3 linked regions of the Medicago truncatula genome follow. Each later gene encodes a partner of the first gene's protein in a complex. Links are inferred from orthologs where the notes say so. Each region holds a gene or a part of one and is shown in the gene's direction. Other genes may lie near its edges. The genes, in order: WPP domain-interacting tail-anchored protein 1, RAN GTPase-activating protein 2 and RAN GTPase-activating protein 1.

Evidence for each region.
Region 2: WPP domain-interacting tail-anchored protein 1 (region 1) and RAN GTPase-activating protein 2 share a complex: the UniProt entries of both Arabidopsis thaliana proteins name them as parts of the ran complex. The link is inferred for Medicago truncatula from reciprocal best matches to the Arabidopsis thaliana genes WIT1 and RANGAP2.
Region 3: WPP domain-interacting tail-anchored protein 1 (region 1) and RAN GTPase-activating protein 1 share a complex: the UniProt entries of both Arabidopsis thaliana proteins name them as parts of the ran complex. The link is inferred for Medicago truncatula from reciprocal best matches to the Arabidopsis thaliana genes WIT1 and RANGAP1.

The regions. Positions count from the first base shown.
Region 1 is NC_053048.1:5,940,506-5,947,556, forward strand, and holds the start of WPP domain-interacting tail-anchored protein 1, read left to right. Parts: upstream 1-4,050; 5' UTR 4,051-4,277; intron 4,278-4,766; 5' UTR 4,767-4,811; intron 4,812-5,104; 5' UTR 5,105-5,147; coding exon 5,148-5,592; intron 5,593-6,176; coding exon 6,177-7,051. UniProt on the Arabidopsis thaliana protein: Together with WIT2, required for the nuclear envelope docking of RANGAP proteins in root tips.
Region 2 is NC_053042.1:51,000,453-51,007,372, forward strand, and holds RAN GTPase-activating protein 2, read left to right. Parts: upstream 1-4,257; coding exon 4,258-4,312; intron 4,313-4,429; coding exon 4,430-6,042; 3' UTR 6,043-6,309; downstream 6,310-6,920. UniProt on the Arabidopsis thaliana protein: GTPase activator for the nuclear Ras-related regulatory protein Ran, converting it to the putatively inactive GDP-bound state.
Region 3 is NC_053042.1:35,966,295-35,973,752, forward strand, and holds RAN GTPase-activating protein 1, read left to right. Parts: upstream 1-4,429; 5' UTR 4,430-4,778; intron 4,779-5,369; 5' UTR 5,370-5,380; coding exon 5,381-6,982; 3' UTR 6,983-7,302; downstream 7,303-7,458. UniProt on the Arabidopsis thaliana protein: GTPase activator for the nuclear Ras-related regulatory protein Ran, converting it to the putatively inactive GDP-bound state. Plays a role in spatial signaling during cell division.

The DNA.
Region 1 (7,051 bases):
TACTCATAAGATTTTCAAATTCTTATCCACTTGCTTAAAATGCCATGGTCTCTTATCGTTAAAATCATCGACATGTTGGCATAATAGTAGCTACCTAATTGTCGGGTTATAAGAAGAGTCTCGACGATAATTTAATTGACCAAAAACAATTGTAAAAGTAGAATTTAGCATCATATTTTATGAGTCATCTTATTTATATATTGTTCAACATTTATTTTTCTATCCACCACCTAACTGGATTTCCTTAACTTTATAAATGGACGATTAGAGAGTAGTACGTCTACTTTGTAGGTCTAACACTTTGTCTCATGTAAATTTTCAATAACTTTGTAGGCCTAACACTTTGTCTTGTATAAATTTTCAACAATGTAACACATTTATTTTATAAATACAAATCATGGTAAACAACCTATATTACTCATTTTATTTATATATTGTTCAACATTCATTTTTCTATCCTAGACTCTAACGGAATTTCCTTAACTTTGTAAATGAAAAATAGAGAGTAGTATGTCCACTTTGTAAGCTCGACACTTTGTCTCGTATAAATTTTCAATAGCAAAGTAACAAAAATATTATACATACAAATCATGGTAAACAACTAATCATTGTTTTAAAAAATGTTAAATAAAAAAAATAGTTAACAAGTAAATATCATCATAATATGTTTTTAATTTTTGAAACAAAAATAAAAATATCAATGCTTATTTTTTAAAAGGTTTGCGACTCATGTCCTAGAAAGAATGTGAGTGTATAAAATTCTTCCTTTAGGCACATTGTGACGTTTGTGACCCAATGAGTTCGATCCACATATAACTTCATTCACATACCTAAAGATATATGATAATATAAACTTACAATAACTATCTTGTATCATAAAAATCATTTTCTTTCAAATGTACATGTCCTAAATTAGGTAGGTATAGCTAACCTCCAAAATTGAGCCGTATGTTTTTTTTTTTCTTTATCTTGTATTATGTTTAGTGATAGGTTTCCTAAATTTTTATGCTTCTTTTTCTCCTCACAATTGCATCAAACTTAAATTAATTTTCTATGAAAATGTTTTGAAAATATATTGTTACAATCTTAGTCAGCATTTGCTGACATATCTAAACACTTGATGAATCACGACCAGCCAATAACACTCATTGTTTTGGTTTACCCATGAAATTACTACACCTAATATATGTGGTGAACCGTGATATCAAATTTTCTTTATTATAAACTTGTGGTTGAAATTGCAGGGGCTTAAAATAATGGTGATTTATAAGTAATGATTTTTAAAGTAACCACTTGCATGTTATGTTTGTTTGTTTTCCCTCTAATAATAATCAGATACTGTGCAAAACTAGTTTAATAAGATCAATCATTATTGTGTTGTTTTCTTTATAGGAATCAATATTGGGAGCTTCTACAATGCAGTTATGAAACTGACATTTTTGAAAAAGTTAATTTTAATCTTTAATGATTTATTCATTTTTAAATTTTTGATTACTCATTAATGATCAATAGTAATTCATCTAGTAATGCTTGCAACATCTTAGACTTACATGTACTATTTTATCGTTGGCATCTTTAACATGCAAACATAGTTGCTGATATCATGCGATAGTCTTAAGTATTACACTTTGTGGGCTGTTACACTTAAAACAAAGTAGGATAAAATTAAATTAAGTGTATTTTTGTTAATATGATGAATTGATGATACTATGAAGACTGAACTTTTGATGCCACTGTACAAACAGTGGGGTGTTACTCACAACACTTTTGATGTTATAGTGTTAACTTCACTAGAAAAGTCATTCTCATGACTTCACCATAGAATTTTCCATCAAAATATTATGTTGTTGTTGGCCAATACATTGATCTTCTTTACGGAGTCTTATTTTTTATAGAATTTTAATAAGGAAAATGTTAACAAATACATTTATGATATTTGTTAAGAAGATAAAATTTTATAAGTTTAACATGTGTATAATTTTTATGAGTTATGCTAACAAGTATAGGACACTTTTAACAGATATCTATGATCTCACAATTATTTTAATTTGAATACAATTTTTATGAGCTAATGCTTGATCTCTACCTAATACCTATATTTTTGCAACATTGTTGAAAAAAGACAAAATTTAGATACATTTCGATAGGCAGTGAGGATGCAAGCCAAATTTTTACGAGTGAGAGAATATAACGAAATAAAATATATATTTTTAAATTAATATATAAAATTTAATTATCTATAAGATAAAAAATTCACAATAATTTTAACTATATAAGAAGAATAAATTATATAATTTTGTCTTTAAATTTTTTATTGTTAATAAAGTTTTCTTCGTATAGTTGTTTAAGATACCAAAAGTGACAAAAGAAGATGAAATAAATTTATTAAACAAGTGATAATCTTTTTAATATCTTATATCTCTCTCTTTTTTTTTATTACAAATAAACATATATGAAGTAGCTAGGTATATTTTTATTCGGGTAGCTAAACGTAAAAAAGACTTATTTATACAATTAAAATAATAATTTGGTGTAACTAAAGCTATCATTTTGATGCCCATAGCTACACCTTTGTCATTACGTGGTTTTCGTACAATTCTTAACTAAATTAGTCATGATTTTCTTAAATTCATACTTTCATTATAACCATAAATATTGTATTTTTAGTTAAGAATCTTACAAAAATACACCTAATTTTTTTGAGATCAAGTAATTTAGTGGCTGAAGCTCACATATTTTAAATGTGGAGAAGTGTGGTGTCTGAGATTCGAATCCTACATAAATGACAAAAAAAATACACCTAAATCATGCATTGTCCTATCAACTGAGCTAATCTCACGGGGACAATACACCTAAATTTTATCCTAAAGGAAAATACTTATGCGATATCACGTATTGTCACGGAGCATAAATGACGAAGGCTGAGAAATATGATGGTGCTAATAGCAGGAGAAATATTGTGAAATTGGGCCAACAATTGAATAAAGGCTAAATGGGATATATGTAAGGAAAAACTCTTGATTTTGTACGAATTTATCCTGCTATTTGCACCATCATATTTCTCTTTAGACTTCAAATTTCTCCTGCTATTATATTAAGAATTTGGGAAAATTTACCTTGTACTTTTACATTTAGGAAATTTCTCTTTAGACTTCTCAAATTTCTCATAAGTTTCCCCGAGAAGTACTTAAGTGTCGTTGAATGTATTTTATTTTGGTCTTTTTGGGGTGTTTGGAGGAAAAAATGGAAGCTAAAGAGCAATTTTCTTGCATATGTACTTCACCCCTACAAACTATAAACTTGAAAACTCTAAATTTTGTAAATTTTTTTAAGAAATATTTAATCCTTAATATAAAAAACATTAGTGGAAAAGGAGATATCTATGAACATAATTTCAATGCAGTGATTGAATTTAAATGGTTAATAGATTGGAATTAACAAGAATTAAAATTTTGATTAACAATTTTCAACCCAATTTTAATTATCTTTTAGCGGAGTTTTGAATTATTAGGATCTCATTCATGGGTTATGAAAAAAAAACATAAACATAACCATGAAAGTTGAACTCTTGTGCAAAAGAAAAACAAACTTCATAAATCTGAACATTTGTTGCGAACATAAATTTTCACAATTTCAATAAAAAAAACATTTTATTTGCCGAAGCCCCCTTTGTTACGAAATGAATTGGTCTAACCGGTAAGGACTTGAGTTTCTTAATCATGTGGTTAAAAATCCGATTCCTGGTTAATGTGTATAGAAAAAAATCCGGTTGAAATGGAAAAACTCATCTTCTGTATCACACATGTTTTTCGTCAGAGATTTTGGGAGAACTCACCTTACATACCTCACATATTTTTCGACGGAGATTAGTCATTATAAACGACAAGAGAAACTTAAGTAACAAAAATATGATGGTAACCCGAATTCAGTTGGAAGAGGAGAACACACCTTATGCGTCACATATATTTCCTGATAGAGATCATAGAAGAATCTATCTTACGTGTCTCACATATTTTAGGATAGAGATTAGTCATTGTAACCGATGAGAGAAACGTCGTTGAGAACACAAGAGGCACACGGCACACCCCCTTTTTCATCCACGTGTCACAAACATTAAAAAAATAACACCACTTCATAGCAAAACGCTGCGTTTCACAGTGAGCTGCAAGTGTTGGGGATCTCCGATTCAGTTTTCAGTTAGGCGCAACTGTTTCCGTTGTCTGAAATATTCATCACTCCAACCGATCCAAAATCAACCCAATTTCATTCTTCAATTGGTATTGTTCCATTCTCTCCAATTTTTCGTATTTTAATTCTAACTTTGCAATCTCAATTAATTTTTTTTTTAAATTTTTCAATTAATTTTTTTGGTGTTTCCGGTATATTGTACTGTATTCACTTTATGGATCAAATAGTTAAAGTTTCATTTTATTGCATTTTATGTTTAGTTATGTCTCTGTAGCACCAACACTACCGCCACTTCTGATCAAAGATGTGTCTGGTGTCTGACGGTTGTGACTACGTTCAATTAATTATTATTTTTAATTTTTTTTATTGGGATCGGTGTCGGTGGTGTCTGGTGTTCGTATATGTGTTAGTGCTTCATAGGTTATCATACATATTTTATACACTGACTCGCGCGACACATGGTCGATCACTTTAAAAAGTATGGTTGATTTAGTTGACTAGATTGTTACTTAACTTCATGGCTCAACTAGTTAAACTTTCACCTTTTTGCATTTTAGTTTAAGTTATTATTTTTGCAGCACTGTAGCATTGGCGTGTCCGACACCAACACGACACTGATACAGGTTATTATACATAGACACTCACCTTTTGTAAACCCGGAGACACCTGGTTAATCACGTTAAAAAGTGTGGTTAATTTAGTTAACTAGATTGTTATTTCAATTCACGGCTAAAATTCTGGTTAATTCAACTATATGAATTAACCACAACTTTTTGATCAGGTGATCAATTGAATTAATCATCTACTTAGCTGAATTAACTACATTTTTACACTTGATTAACCAGGTGTCCCAGCTGTATGAAAAGCTGGTTGTTGATAAAGCATTTCTGTTTTAACTTTTTGAGTTTTCTTCCAGGATCCATAACAACAATTGTTGAAGTTTTTTTACGATTAGAACAATGGAAACTCAAAGTGTTGAAGATAATACCAGTGATGTTGATGTTGGAGGTGTTTCAGATAATGGAGAAGTTATTGTGGATTTTGAAATGAGTGTGGTATATTTCTCTGAGAAAGTTTCAAATTTAAGTATTTTTATGATGAATTTGGAAACTTTGGAAGGTGAATTAGAGGGTTTAGTTTGTGATGAAGAAAACATCGATATGGATTGTGTTTTAAAGGGTTTTGAGTTTGATTTGTTATGCGGGGTAATGGATTCTGAGGTTGGAGATTTGGGTTTGTTTTTGGATACACTTCATGCTGAGATTTCTGGTTCTAGAGAGAGAGATTCTTCTTTGAACAATTGGCAAGAGAGGTTGGTTGAATCCGAGGAGCAGTTTTATGAGATTAAGAAACAATCTTTTAGTTTTGAAAGGACTTTGTCTTCTTATAAGAAGGAAGAGAATGGTAAGTAGAAGATCTTAATGATTCATATTTATATATGTTGTTTTTGTTGTTGTTTGAACATTGATTGCTTGTTGTTTTTATCTGTTACATGTTCCTGTCTTTTCATTTACTTGTTAGAATAGGGTATATTCTTTTATGTGGGGTCCACCTTAATTTTCATGTGATATTGTGTGTATAATGTTTATGCAATATGAATTGCAAAAGCCTATTTTGCATTAATGGAACTCTTCTTTTTTGTTTTAAAAAATAAGAAAAGGAAGAAAGAGTTGTGAAGAACATATTGAACATTTGAACCGACCAATGAGAATATTTTTATCTGAATAATTTTGCGAGTTTAATTTTGATACATTCCCAGTGTGAAAAATCTAGACTCTTAGTAAATCACAACCAATCATAAGTGTGACTTCGTAAGTGGTTATGAACTTATGATTAAATATAAACAATGTTAATGTTCTAACTATTATGATTGATTGACAGTGTAAAAAATCTTTCCACTGATAGTGTATATGAATTAAACCCTAAATTTTCATTTCTAATAAATATTTGCTGTCCTTTTTTATGTGTTGGATTTTCAATGACGACAGGGAATGTTGAAGACGATGGAAATGTCCAAGAGGATGATCAAACTTCGAATGTAAACAACATGATGAACATGCAAACAACTGAGCAACATAGAAACATTTTGAGGATGCTTGAGAAATCTTTGGCAAATGAAATAGATCTCGAGAAGAATTTCAATGACTCGAAGAAAATTGAAGAAAAGCTAAATCTGAGGATCCTTTCTTTAGAAGACGAGTTAATTCAAACAGAGGAAGAAGCGATCGAAGTTTGGGAAAGATTTTTTGAGGCAGACAATGCGCGTGAGATCCTGAAGGGAATTTCAAATGAAGTGTTGGCTAAACTCAAGCTTTCTCAGTTCAATTTGGTCGGTTTAAGAAAAAGTGAATCCGAGCTTAGAGATAAGCTGGAAACTTCTATAGAGCAATTGAAAAGTAGAGACGTTAATTTGGAAAAGATCGAAAGCAGCGCAGCTGAAGCAGTCAATTTAGGTGACAAAGTGTGTTCACTTGAGAAGCAGCTACAAGAAACTGAATGCCAGTTAGTGAATGTGAAAGTCTCTGCCGATGAATATCAGCAACAGTATAACGTTGTGTGTTCTCAAGTTAGAGACATGGATAACCTTATCGTAGAATTGAAAGAAAATGCAAAAAATGCAGAAAATCAAGCTAATGCTGCAGAAGTTCAGTGTAAAAAATTGACGGAAACTAATGAAGAACTCAACAAGGAGCTGACTCTTTTAAAAGACTGTGGTATCACATCCGAGAGTGTAGAGTTACTTGAAAGGCAGCTAAAGGAGACTGATTTACAGCTGCAACAAGCAGTAGCGTCTGCTGGAGCTAGTGAAGAGAAGCAAAAGATGCTGTGTTACACAATTGAAGATATGGAACATGTGATAAAG
Region 2 (6,920 bases), on another chromosome or scaffold:
TCACATCAATTTTTTCATTCGTCACAGGTTTAGTATCTATTTTCATTTTTTTGGTACAATCCTTTTATTTCATTTTACCTTCTCTTATTTACAATCTCTCATGGGTTATGAGAACTGAAGCATGGCCTCGTGGGGATGAAAGTTGTTTGAATAGTATACGAATAGGAAAGTGAGGTGGGGTTTAGCCTGGAAAAGGGGAGTTGTTTCCCACAATGGGAAAGTTGATTATGTCCATTAGATTAAATGAGAAACAAATCCTTATCCTACTCTCTCAACACTAGATTATTGTTTTACACTATCTTCCACCATCTCTCTTTCATGTCCCACACACTCATACCACAACCACCACTATATCAGATACAGCAACCACCACACACCACCATGTTGCTGCTGGAAAACTCAGATATTATAAGTGCTTAATTAGGCTATTTATCCAAAGACACTCTAGCTCTTTTTAAGCTTTTGTTTAATAAAAATGATGAAATTCATTCTTTTAATCTACCATAATCAGTGGTAACTCCATGCTAAAAGTGTGATGCTTAGATTTTGTCGAGTCAAAGCTTAAAAAAGGCAATCAAACTAAGAAGCAGGTATATATTTAGGATAGGACCAATGGTCTTTCCTCCACCGCCTGAGACAACGCTGTAGTTGCAGTTTTGATTTTTAAAATTAAGTTGCAACTCTTAATTCTTTTGGGCGAGAATTTTAAAGCTTGTGTTAATGAGCTTAGGAGAAGGATTTGAGAAGTTATTTTATGATTCTGAATTCAAAAAACAAGAAAGAGAGATGGTGGAAGATAGTGTAAAACAACGATATAGTGTATGAGAGAGTAGGATAAAGATTTGTTACTCATTTAATCCAATGGACATAATCAACTTTCCTATGGTGGGAAACAACTCCCTTTTCCCATACTAAATGCCACCGGAAAGTGAACCACACCACTTATTTATCTGAAGGAAAATACTTGTTTAGGCACAAGTGTTTGGTCACTAAATTTAGGCACACATACATAATTGAGAAAAGATAGAGAAAGAGAAAATAATTAGATCATATTTATTTTTTAAATAATTAAATAAAATGTATTTTTCTTATCAAAAAAATAAAATAAAATATATTTTTATGTGTGGTGTGTCCAAAAGCTTATGTTCGTGCAAGACTTTCTCTTATCTGAAAGTCTCAATTAAATTAAGAAGGGTGGCAATGATGTAAGCGCTAAGAAGTATGGCAATGCTTGGATGATAGCCTAAAATTTGGCCTTTGTCACGGTGATATACGGATAACACTTGTGTATCACTGGGATATCAATGTTATATAACATTGGCCAATGAGGGTGTGCCACGTAGCACTTCACATGTATATCTTTTCTCTTTCCTCTTTAGTCATTTCTTACATCGGTTATGTGGCATGCCATCATTGGCCAATGTTATATAACATTGGTATTTCAATAGCACACAAGTTCTATCCGATGATTAGACATGACAATGGGGCGGATCGGGGGCTGGTTTACGCATCCTCGTCCCTGTCCCCACTTCCATGCACCCGCCCCCATCCCCAAACCATAACGGGTAAAAATTGAACACCCAACCCCGCCCCCAATGGAGACAGGTCTCTCTGCCCCGCTCCACCCGCAAAAACTCTATTTTTTATAAAATATTTAAAAAAATGCATATTTTTTCATAACAACAAAAAATAATAACTATATTAATAATTAAATATTTAATAAAAAAAATTTAAAAGAGCAAAATAATTATAGTAAATATGTTTCTAAAGAGTAATGATATATTAAAATTGGTTGGTGCTTATGGAAATAAGATTATAAAACTTAATAAAGTAAATTTTAAAAAACGGGTGTGGGGCGGGTGTAAGCATCCCCCGCCCCCGGCGCCGCCTACGTACTGAAAACTAAATTTCTCTCACACCCGCATCTAGTTAAATCGGTTTTCCCCGTTAAATTTGGGACGGGGACGATCGGGTTTGGCGGGGGCGAGTTTTGTTGTCATGTCTACCGATGATATACAATGTAAGTATGGAGTTGTGAAAGACATAAATTCAGAAAAAGGCTAATGTTGTTTCTCCCAAGAAAATGTTTCGTGAATGCATCACGACCATTTAATTTGTAAATTTTTTAACATGACAATTTATTCGGGACACCTTCGTGGTCATTTTTTTCTGTATTTAGCAGTGCTCTTAGTAAAATTATCAACAACAGAAAAGAAAATGAGATAATATAAGCATTTGATACTCATGTGCTAAATGCCTTCTTATAGTTTTTTTAAAAATGCAGTGTCAAATCCATTTTTGTGGCCAATCACTTTAGCATTCTGATTAGAACTCCCTCCTTGTGCACTCTTTCTCCAGAATGGTGAAAGTTTAAAGTATGTTTAAATTATCGTTTCAATCAGCCATTCTACTTTCTGGTGCAATTTTAAGCCTATGTTTGTATTGAGGATGGATTTGTTGTAAAAGTGCGTTTCGAGAGATCATACAATTTGTAGCTTCTCTATTATCAATTTCCAAGGCTCTCAAACACACGGTAGCAGTGGTGAAATGTCAAACAAGCACATACTTAAATGATTCCATTGTGACCACACAATCGCATTACGATTTCTAGAAATTCAAAATACATGATTTATAGACGATCAATTCAGTAAATTTATCAACAACATAAAAGAAAAGAAAATGAATTAAGTAAAGACATAAATATTAGAGACACTCCAACCTATTTTGACAATAAATCAACTCTTTTTTTAAAATGAATTAATATAAACAAAAATGATGGTTGAAAAATTAATGTGTGTGGCAAAATTTTAATCCACATATATCAATTTTCTAACTACCTTTTGTTTTTGTTTATATTTATTCTGGAGGGAGTATGTTAATCATAATATTAAATTTCTCATGTGATTAATGTTTTTTTTTTTTTTTGTGATGGTCAGAGTTTAAACTACGAATATAGTAATCCAACTAACAATAGAATTCCTCCGCTAAACTTACCACATTGTTAAAAATACGGTTATTCCTAGCCCTCCAAATAACCCACAAGGTGGTATGCCAAACAAGACGCCTACCCATTTGAAACAATTTACTAGTCGTCCTCCCCGCATTCCAACAAAGCCAATGAACGAACAAATTGGGCGGTGTAATGAATTCAATCTCAAACCACCTTTTGACTTTCTCCCAAACCGAGCTAACTACATTGCAATGCAAGAACAAATGGTTGGTGGATTCCTCCTCCAAATCACACAAAACACAATGCAAACTTAAATTTGGAGGTAGAGCATGATGATAAAGAAGATTCAAACGGGTCGGTATACGATTAAGCAAAGATCTCCAAGAGAGCGCCACCACCTTAGAAGGAGCCGGGCTCTTCCAAACTTGGCTAAAGACATGTTTCTCCTCTAACCCCCACTCATTCTCAATACCCGCCACCACCTCTAGCTTCTTATACAAAGAACTCACGGAAAACCTACCATCCTCTTCAAGCTTCCACCACCACTCATCCGTCCCATTTGAAGTCACAAAACCTTGAAGATCGAGTAATAAATTTGCAAGAAGGTCTTCCTCCCAAACAAACAACCTTCGCCTCCAAGTGAAAAGCCAATCTAATCCCGTGCCGGACAACACTCCTATCTCCCCTACCTTAGCATCTTTAAGGTTTGAAATAGCAAAGAGCCTTGGATATTTGTTACAAAAAGCCACCTCACCCCTCCACTTAGTCTTCCAAAAATAAGTATCTAAACCATTATGAACTTTCCTAGCCAATTCCGTATTAAACCAATTCATCCCATCACCATCATCAATGGTCATAATATCTTTCCACCATCTTGAAGTGTGACTATGCCAATTTCCACCATCATATTTTATTTGTTGTTTTGCTTAGTTTCATTTAGCTATGATTATCACATGAACAACAACGGATTATGATTGAGAAATAAAAACAGGCCCTACTTTATTATTGCAATCAATTCAGCCTATACAGTATGATATCTGTTAATTATTATTTCAATTACTTATTTGATGGGTTTTTATAGTCGTTGCTCCTATTTCTTGAGCTACTTTTCAGAGCAGTTTTTTATATCCAATTCGTAAATTAATTTTTGTTATCTGTGTATTATGTCCTTAACACTAACCTCCCATAGCTGCATTTTACATATGTGACTTATAATCATGATGACTTAACAAGTGACGAAAATGTGTCTTGTTTTTTTAGATACATTTTCAGTGTGACTTATTCTTGGTGTGTTACTTATAGTCATGATGACTGATAACCTTTCAGAATTTAGATACATTTTCAGTTTGATATCTAAAGTGGGCAAGGGCTTCGAAAATGTGTCGTATTTTTTCAGATACTTTTTCAGCGTGTGACTTATTTTTAGTGTGTGACTTATAATCATGATGACTTATAACTTTACATGAATCGTTTTTGCAGGTTTGATTGATATGGAGCTGAATTCGCAGAACAGGCCGTTCTCAATCAAATTATGGCCTCCTAGTCAGAACACTAGACAGACGCTTGTGGAGAAGATGACCAACAATCTTACTACGAAATCCATTTTCACTCAAAAGTATGAAACCTTGCACCCGAAACAGGCTGAAGAAAATGCTAAAAGAATTGAGGACAAGGCTTTTGCCACGGCAAACCTACATTACGAGAAAGAGCCAGATGGTGATGGAGGTTCTGCAGTCCAGCTTTATGCCAAAGAATGCAGTAAGCTCCTCCTAGAACTTCTTAAAATGGGTCCTAGTAAGAACAGTGTCAAAGAAGCGGTGATTTCTGATGCTGCTGCTGTCCCTCGTGAATCTGTTTTTGATATATCTAAAGGCCAAAGGGCTTTCATTGAAGCAGAGGAGGCTCAAGAACTTTTGAGTCCACTGAAGGAGCCGGGTAATTCTTTCACTAAAATATGCTTCAGCAACAGAAGTTTTGGATTAGGAGCAGCAGAAGTCGCTAAGCCGATTTTCATATCCCTCAAGGACCAGTTGAAAGAAGTAGACCTGTCAGATTTTATTGCTGGAAGACCAGAAGCAGAAGCACTTGATGTCATGAGGATATTCTCGGCTACTCTAGAAGGCAGTGTCTTGAAGTATTTAAACCTTTCTGACAATGCTTTAGGTGAGAAAGGTGTTAGAGCATTTGGAACTCTCTTGAAATCACAAAGCTGTTTGGAGGAGCTTTATCTTATGAATGATGGAATTTCAGAAGAAGCTGCTCAAGCAGTTTCTGAGTTGATTCCTTCCACAGAGAAGCTCAAAGTTCTCCATTTTCATAATAATATGACTGGAGATGAAGGAGCACGTGCTATAGCTGAGGTTGTGAAGCGTTCTTCTTGCTTGGAGGATTTTCGTTGTTCCTCCACAAGGATAGGCGATGAAGGTGGAGTTGCCTTATCTGATGCTTTGGGGGATTGCACCCATTTGAGGAAGCTTGATTTGCGAGACAACATGTTAGGTGTAGAGGGTGGGGTTTCCCTGAGTAAAGCTCTTGCCAAGAATGCAGAGTTAAGAGAGATATACCTGAGCTTCCTGAACTTGGAAGACGAAGGAGCAATTGCTATAGCTAATGCTCTTAAGGCATCAGCTCCTCGCCTTGAAGTTCTCGAGATGAGTGGAAACAATATTACAGTTGATGCTGCTCCTGCTATAGCAAACTGCCTTGCAGCCAAGCAGTTTCTTGCCAAGTTGAACCTCTCTGAGAATGAACTCAAAGATGAAGGTGCCATCCAGATAAGTAAGGCTTTAGAAGGCCTTTCACAATTAAAGGAAATCGATCTAAGTTGCAACAGAATAACCAGAGACGGGGCTCAACAATTGGCTCTCACTGTGTTGCAGAAGGTTGATTTTGAACGTCTGGACATTGACGGAAACTTCATTTCTGATGAAGGTATTAAAGAGTTAATGGTTATATTTGAAAAATCTCCGGACAAGCTTGGTCCATTAGATGAAAATGACCCTGATGGAAAAGACGGTGATGAAGAATCTGACGAAGAGGGTGGTGTGGAGGATGCACTGGAATCCAAAATGAAGAACCTTGTAGTTGATTGAATTGTAACTGTTAGTAGCTTACTGGTTCTACTGCAGAAGTAACTCTTATGACATTAGTATCAGTTTATTCATTCACAGAATCATATGTAACCGTCAAGATGCATCATTTCACCAAAATATTGAATCATTATGCGTATCTTGGTGATACTTTAATTTTGGTGGTCTAACCATTGTGGGTATCTCTGGACTAGATATCGTAATCTTGTCGTCATTAGTGTATTAACACCTGGTTATCATCAGATTCAGTGTTATGTTGGTCAATTTACATGATCGCTGTGACGAGTATTGGAGCTATTCTAATAGATACTCCAAAACTGATTAGAATATGTTTAATTTTATTCTATTATTTTCAATAAAGTCATAACATTATGGCATAATTTAATTTATGTAGCCGACCTTACACAGGGGAATAAGACTTAGTTCTTATTGTTGTATTTACAATAAAAATAAAAATGTATTGAAAAATACAGACAATAAAAATGAATTGATTTTTTTTTTGTTGGTATTTTTGAGTTTTGTTGGGTACCAATACCCTCCAAGCAAAACTATCTGACATTGTAGTGTTCACCGCATTGTGTTGTCGATTTACTTTTAATATATAAAGCAAATACAAAGGTCGTGTTTTACTAACATCTTTTTGAGAGGATGTTTTAACATTGTTCAAAATTTAAATAAGAAAATATTCCAGTGTTAGAAACGGTAATTAAACAATCATCCTTGTGAGCTTAGCTCAGTTGGTTGGGACAATGCATAAAATATGAAAGATTCGGGATTCAAACCCCGGCCATGACCAAAAAACAATGGTTTTGGCACATTTTTCTTTTCAAAAACGGTAAGCCAATGACAATTAACAATAAAAACAATAACTCATATAGTCA
Region 3 (7,458 bases), on another chromosome or scaffold:
GTATAATTCGTAGTGTATTTGTGTTATTTCAAATTATATAATCTGAGACCTATAGAAAAATCAAAAATAAATAACCAAACGTCTATGTTGACCATCCTACAAAAATCCCACAAATGATCGAAGTTTTTGATCAACAGCGACCATGACATCATATTCGTCATGAAAGGAAAAGTAAGAAAGAAAAGAGAAAAAGAAAAGAAGAGGGAAATTGCAATGAAAATAAAGAAGAATGCAAGATTATTTATACCCATAACACCTTTCTATATTGTAACTATAGTCAAACAAAATGTGTAAAATGAACCAAACTTGTCAAAAAAGAAGCACAAATCGCTCAAACTTTGCTTGTAAGATCACAATTCAAAATCTAGAATATTTTGGATTATATAATCTAAAATCATGTCTAGTATTGGTTCAGAATATATAATCTGAAACGTGCATAAATTGTGTTAAAAATTGTGATTTGGGGGTTTGATTTGTTTCAGATTATATAATTCAAACCGTGTTTAGAACATAATAAATAGGTAAATCTGCCATCAAATTCTACAACAACAGCATAAATTAAACATAACAATTTCAACTACATAATTTCAACAAGATAATTCAATAACAAAATACAAAAAAGTAAAACATAATACTTAAATATAAACAACATCATGGAACAACCAACTAAAATATTCATATGGTATATCCATGCATTCCTTGATTTCTCTGTAGGTCATCGATTGAATATCAAGAAAAAGATCTAATAAATGAAACTTGAAACTTGATCAGTCTCTTTGAACCATACTGACCAAACATAAAGAACATGGTACTCACCTCGTCATCGTTCTGAAGATTCATCTAAGTGAAATGAACACACTCATCTGAATCGATTGACAGACGACGATACTCAACACTATCTACCGTTCTTGTATCTTTGTGGTTGAGACTGTTAATTTGGTCTAGCTGACCTTTAAAGTCACACAGTGTGATATCAATGTGGACCATAAGTAGATTCAGTTTCTCCGCTATAGTAAACTCTACAGCTAGTTTAGTGTTCATATTTATTTGATAAGTGTTCATTGTTGTGTCGTGTGGTTTTCAAATGAACCAAACACGCCAATTTATAGAAGTCCATATGTGTCATAGGTCATGAAAACTTTTGGTGCAAAGTGGACCACAAAAAATCATGTATTTGACTAATTTAGATTATACAATTTGAAATGTGTCAAACCATCCAAATCACAAGATTTAACATAATCTGGACAATTTTGGATTATATAATATGAACTAATATTGGACATATATTTGGATCATATAATCTGAAACATTCTAGAATTTGGAAAGTGGTTTCGTCAGTGACATTTGGAAGGTCTGACGGTTTTTGGGTCAATGTGCGGTGTTATACACGTTTTATTGATTGTATTACACGTTTGAATTGACTGTAAAAACAATATTTGTTGAACTTTGCCCTCAAATACCATTCCTTTCTTTTGTACTCTTCATTTTAAAACTCATATTCCTTATTCTTCTCTTTTTTTTCTCTGTTTTCTTTTGGGATGGTTACGAAGTCATAATTTCACAATTGACCTTTTACAAACAAGATCAACAAAGACATTTATGCCTTATTGTAGGGTTAGTATGAATGGTCAAAAGGTGGTTGATCCTCTCCATATTGTATTCCTCATCGATTTGGATATGAGATTGTACATATAAGATTCCACCTTCACTGCCTCGTAATCTTCTGTTCCCAAAATTTTCGGAGGGCATGCGAGAGGGATGACACACCTTTTTCACTCATTCTCCATCTATTTTATTGTATTAGAAATTTAGCTTTAAAGAATGCGTCTTGTATAGGCAGAACACCTCCAAATTACTAACAACCCCAAAAATAAACTAGCCATGCATAAAAAGCAGAAACAGATTGAGCTTAAAGACAATAGAGCCAATCCTCAATCCTAGAGCTGTCAAAATGGGGCGGGCCGTATGGGCCGGCCCGAAATCCCGAATAAAACGCAGGGCCTGGGCCGAAAAATTGGAGCCCGAATTTTTCTAGGGCTTTTTAGCCCGGTCCGTAAAAGCCCGTAACCCGTTCGGGCCTCGGGCAGCCCGCCAAAAATTCAAGTGGGTTACTTTTTATTATTTTTTTGTTGGTCTGTGTATGTTACATGGTGACTGCAAGCATTTTCAATTCGATTGTTTGTAGTCTGTGGAACAAGCATTTTCACAAGACAAAAGGTGATCAAAGCATAATGTAGGAATTTCATTTCAGATATATTGGTAAAAGTAGTTTCTACATTTATTTGTTTTCTGAAATGCATCATGCTGCTCTTATATTAAGGAAATGGTGTATTTTCATGACAAAACGAAAATTACAACATTACTTTTGTTGCTTAGACGGACAAGCACTTTGCTTAGAATGGGTTTTCATTCTAGGCAGTGAACAAAGGTCCATTTTACTTCAAAATGAGAGTCTGATCGCCCTTGCTTTTTAAAAAAAAAAACTAAAAAAATGTTATTATGTTCAGAATGAAATAAAAGAAAGAAAAAAAAAACGGGCTTGGGCTGGCCCGTTAGCCCGTAAAGGGCCGGGCTCGGGTTCTACTTTTCCAGTCCATATTCAAACTGGACTTTTTAGCCCGACCCTTAAAAGCCCTTGACCCGGTCGGGCCGGGCTTAAACGGGCCGGGGCGCCCGTTTTGACAGCTCTACTTAATCCCTTACAAAACAAAAAAAATAGCAGGCCTGATGCAAAACAAACACAAAGCCAGATGTTGTCAGCACCCTATCAGCCCAGAAACACACCACAACAGCAACAAAACAACAACAAAAACCGCTACAAAACAAAACAGTAGCAACCTCCATTACTCCTCCCCTTCCTACCGACGATGGATACAATCTATAGGGTTCCAACACCAAGCGTAAAAATAACCATCAAATCTATCAAAAACACCCTTGTATTTGAAAACCACATCAACAACGAACTCATAGAAGAAAACCCTCAAAAAACATAACCACGACCAACCACCACAAGCATCACCACAAAAACCACCACGAGCACCACGAAAAACCACCACAAGCACCTCCACAAAAGACTCAGTATCATCACCACCGCGGAAACCACCACGAAGCACCATAAACCAACACAGCCAAAAATCCATCTAAACCATAACATATCATATGCCTCACAACTTTTATGACCGACCTATCACCACCTACGTTGCGAGCAAACAGAACCTTCACCCACCGTCAAGAGAGAAAACGGATCTGGTATCAACCACCACATACCAAAAGACAAACTCAAGCAATCAGTGTTGAACGGCCAGAGAAACAGAGCCGTAACACAATTCACAACTCCACCAGAGGTCCACCGTCAAAATTGCAGTTTAGGACCATCGACAGATCTGGAGGTAGGTGGTGCGGAGGGCTCAAGCCGCTCGTCGCACCACCATAAACGGACTCTACATCTCAAGAATATATATTGAATTTTTGGGCGGCGGCAGTAAGTTTTGTGTAGAGAGAGGGCAGAGAAAAAAGAAGCTAGGGTTTTGAAAAAAAGTTTAAAAATATTTTTTAAATCATGTTGTGTATTTTAAAGTATGCCACTGTAAATTATAACATTTTAATAAATTGAGTTGAATATGATAAAAAATGGATAAATACAATTCATATTTTATAATTCAAAAACGTCAAATACCATTCTTTTAGGATATGCAAGGGAAAATGTTTTGAAATTTTAAAGATTTGGTTTGAATATTCAAGCCAAAATTTTTGTTTGAAACCAAAAAGTTTTGAAAACAAATATCCAATTTAAATATTCAAACAAACCTTATAAAAAGCAAAACTTTAGGAAAAATTTAAAAACTTGCTCTTTCTTTTGGGATCTTTGGTCAATTTAGAAGATACGTGTTTTTTGAAAAAAAAAATCTTTATATTTGTTAAACTAAAAGGATATTTTTGGTAAATAATTTGTTTTGAGTGGATTAATGGGGTATGAAGTTAAATTTTCATAATTCAGTTTTTAACATTTCTTTTGAGGCCCATTTATACACATGATAGTTATATACCAGATGTGTTTTATTTTTTTCTTTCTGCCAAACACGCGTATAGGAGATAACTTCCAAAATAAACATACATCTAGTATTTTTTTTTTACAAAAAAAATCCTAGTAGATTACAATCAAATGTGTATTCCTTCATAAAAAAAAAAAACAATCGGATGTATATTTCTTTTAAAAAGAACCGAATGTGTGTATTTAGGGATTCTAAGAGATATAGGGGGAAAGAGAAATGTTTTTCAGCATTTGTCAGCATAATAAGCTAGTCCAGTCAAAGATTTTCCAAAGCCCAAGTATAGGCCCAAATAAAACCACAATTAGGGTTTGTGACGTCATGCATGAAGAAATTCAGATGTATACAGGCTAAAACCATCATTTTGTCGGAATCGGAAAATCTACGCTTTGGGATTTCGATTTCAATTTCAATGGTGGCGTTTAAAAAAAGCTGGATTCGATTGAGATTTTGATTTTGATCCATCCATCACATTTTTTTCATTTTCAATCATTTCCCTCCAGTTTTTCCACGCACGCTTTACCCTATCCAAATATCTTTATCATATTTTTCAATTTTCAAACATTAAAATCATTAAATTTAATTTTTATTTTTATTTTTCCCCGCTCCAGCATAAAAAGGCTCCAACTAATTTTAATCATCATTTCAAAAATCTTCTTTTTCGTTTTCTCTCTGCTGCTACTGCACTTTATCTTTTCTAGGGTTTCTGCGTTCTCATTTCTCACTCAGGTACTAGATCTATTCCCCTCTTTTCTTTCTCTTCTCTGCTTGTTATCGATAAGATTCAGATTCCTTTTTAATATGAGATTCGATTCCTTTTCTCCTGTTCAAATTTCTGAATTTTCAAGTCTGTAACGGAGTCCGTAACGGCGATTTCCTGTGATTTTTGTTCTCGGCGTGAAAAGATCCAAAAACGGTCACGGTGGCTGCTGATACCGTTTTGTAACGGCCGCAATCCCGGCACCGGTCCTTTTTTTGAAACCTTGGTAGTTATTGATTTGTACAAATTAATTTTTTTAGGGTTTATTTAAAAGTTGTAGTCATTTTCATTTTTGAAAACTTCGTATTCGGTCCCAAGGAATGATTAATCCGTGGGGTTACTGAAATATGTAGTCATTATAACTCTAGTGCTGTTAAAATACATCACTATGTATGCATATTGTGGTTCTTTGGTTTTGATTTTATACTGTAGTTATTATTGAAGAAGAAAGCAAATTAATGAATTTTAGATAGTAGTTTTATGTCTTCTGTTGTTTTATAGGCACTAGTGAAGATTATGATTCAGAAAACTTTTAAATTTGTTGCTATACTTGTTTCTAGGTTCTGTTGATATGGATTCTACCGTACCGTCGTACCAACACCGAACACTTTCAATCAAGTTGTGGCCTCCAAGTCAGAGTACTAGGTCGATGTTGGTTGGACGGATGGTCAGGAACTTGACGACTCCGTCCATTTTCTCTAGAAAGTATGGACTTCTTAACAAAGATGAGGCTGAGAAGGATGCAAAGGAAATTGAGGATGCAGCTTTTGTGACTGCGACCCAACACTTTGAAAAGGAGCCCGATGGTGATGGGAGTTCTGCTGTGCAAATTTATGCCAAGGAATCGAGTAAGCTTATGTTGGAGGTTTTGAAAAGAGGACCAAGAGGGAAGGAGGAGAATGGGGAGTTGATATCTGAAAAGGGTGATGCTGCTGTTGAAACTGTTTTTGACATTTCTGGGGGTCGCAGAGCTTTCATTGATGGGGAGGAAGCTTCAGAGCTTCTAAAACCATTGATGGGACCAAACTCTTTTACAAATATATGTTTCAGTAATAGAAGTTTTGGTTTGGATGCTGCTCATGTCGTTGAACCCATGCTAATATCAATTAAAGATCAACTGAAAGAGGTAGATCTGTCAGATTTTATTGCTGGGAGACCAGAAGCAGAAGCTATTGAAGTGATGAATATATTTTCTTCTGCACTAGAAGGAGCTGTGTTGAGACATCTTAACCTGTCAAATAATGCCATGGGCGAAAAGGGGGTTAGAGCATTCCGGGCACTCCTTAAATCACAAAATGACTTGGAGGAGCTTTATTTGATGAATGATGGTATATCAGAGGAAGCTGCAAAAGCAGTTGCTGAATTGATCCCTTCCACTGAGAAGCTTAAGGTTCTTCATTTCCATAATAACATGACTGGAGATGAAGGAGCATTTGCAATAGCTGATGTTATGAAACGTTCCCCAGCTTTGGAAGATTTTCGGTGTTCATCTACCAGAGTAGGCGCTGAAGGTGGTGTTGCTCTTGCTGAAGCGCTTGGGGCTTGCACGCATTTGAAGAAGCTTGATTTGCGTGACAACATGTTTGGTGTGGAAGCTGGAGTTGCTCTAAGTAAAGTTATACCTGTATTTGCTGATCTTACAGAGATATACCTCAGTTATTTGAACTTAGAGGACGATGGTGCAGAAGCCCTTGCTAATGCTTTGAAGGAATCTGCACCGTCACTGGAAATTTTGGATATGGCTGGGAATGACATTACTGCTAAAACTGCTGTTTCTGTAGCTGAATGTATATCATCAAAGCAGTTCCTCACCAAGTTAAATTTATCCGAGAATGAATTGAAAGATGAAGGTGCAGGTTTAATCAGTAAGGCGCTGGAAGGTCTTGGCCAATTAAGTGAAGTTGATCTGAGTACAAATTTGATCACATGGTCAGGAGCCAAACTGTTGGCAGAAGCTGTTGTCCAGAAACCTGGATTTAAGTTGCTGAATGTTAATGCTAACTTCATTTCTGATGAAGGGATTGACGAGTTAAAGGACATATTTAAAAACTCACCTGACATTCTGGGTCCTTTGGATGAGAATGATCCTGAAGGAGAGGACATTGATGAAGAGGCTGAAGAAAATTCCGATAATGATGAATTGGAGTCAAAACTGAAAGGCCTTGAGATTTAAGAAGATTCATAGGACTCTGTCATGCGATTGCTACTTCAGATTAATTTGTAGGCCAATTATGTTTGCAATAGACATACTTTTTTTATACTGAGCAGCTAGCATTTTAATCTTTGTATTTTAGATTTTCGATTCCATAACTTGGCTTATTGAAGTTTACCAGATATATGCTCTTAATATATCTGGCAAGACAAGAAATAGGCAAATGGTATGAATGGTAGAATTTTTTGGGCTTTATTGTGCCTTTTGCTGGCAATTTATTATCTTTGATTGCTGATTCGTGCTTAAATATTTGCAATTGATTCAATAAGCAGGTTATTACACTTGATTGCTGGTCGTGTTTGCAATTGATTCCATATGCAGATTATTACTGAAGGACTGCATCATACTTTTGATGTTGTGCATTGTAGGCTTAGTCTATAAACAACATAAACCAATTGCAAGCAAAGTAAATGTTGCTACAGGGATGAGATTTTATT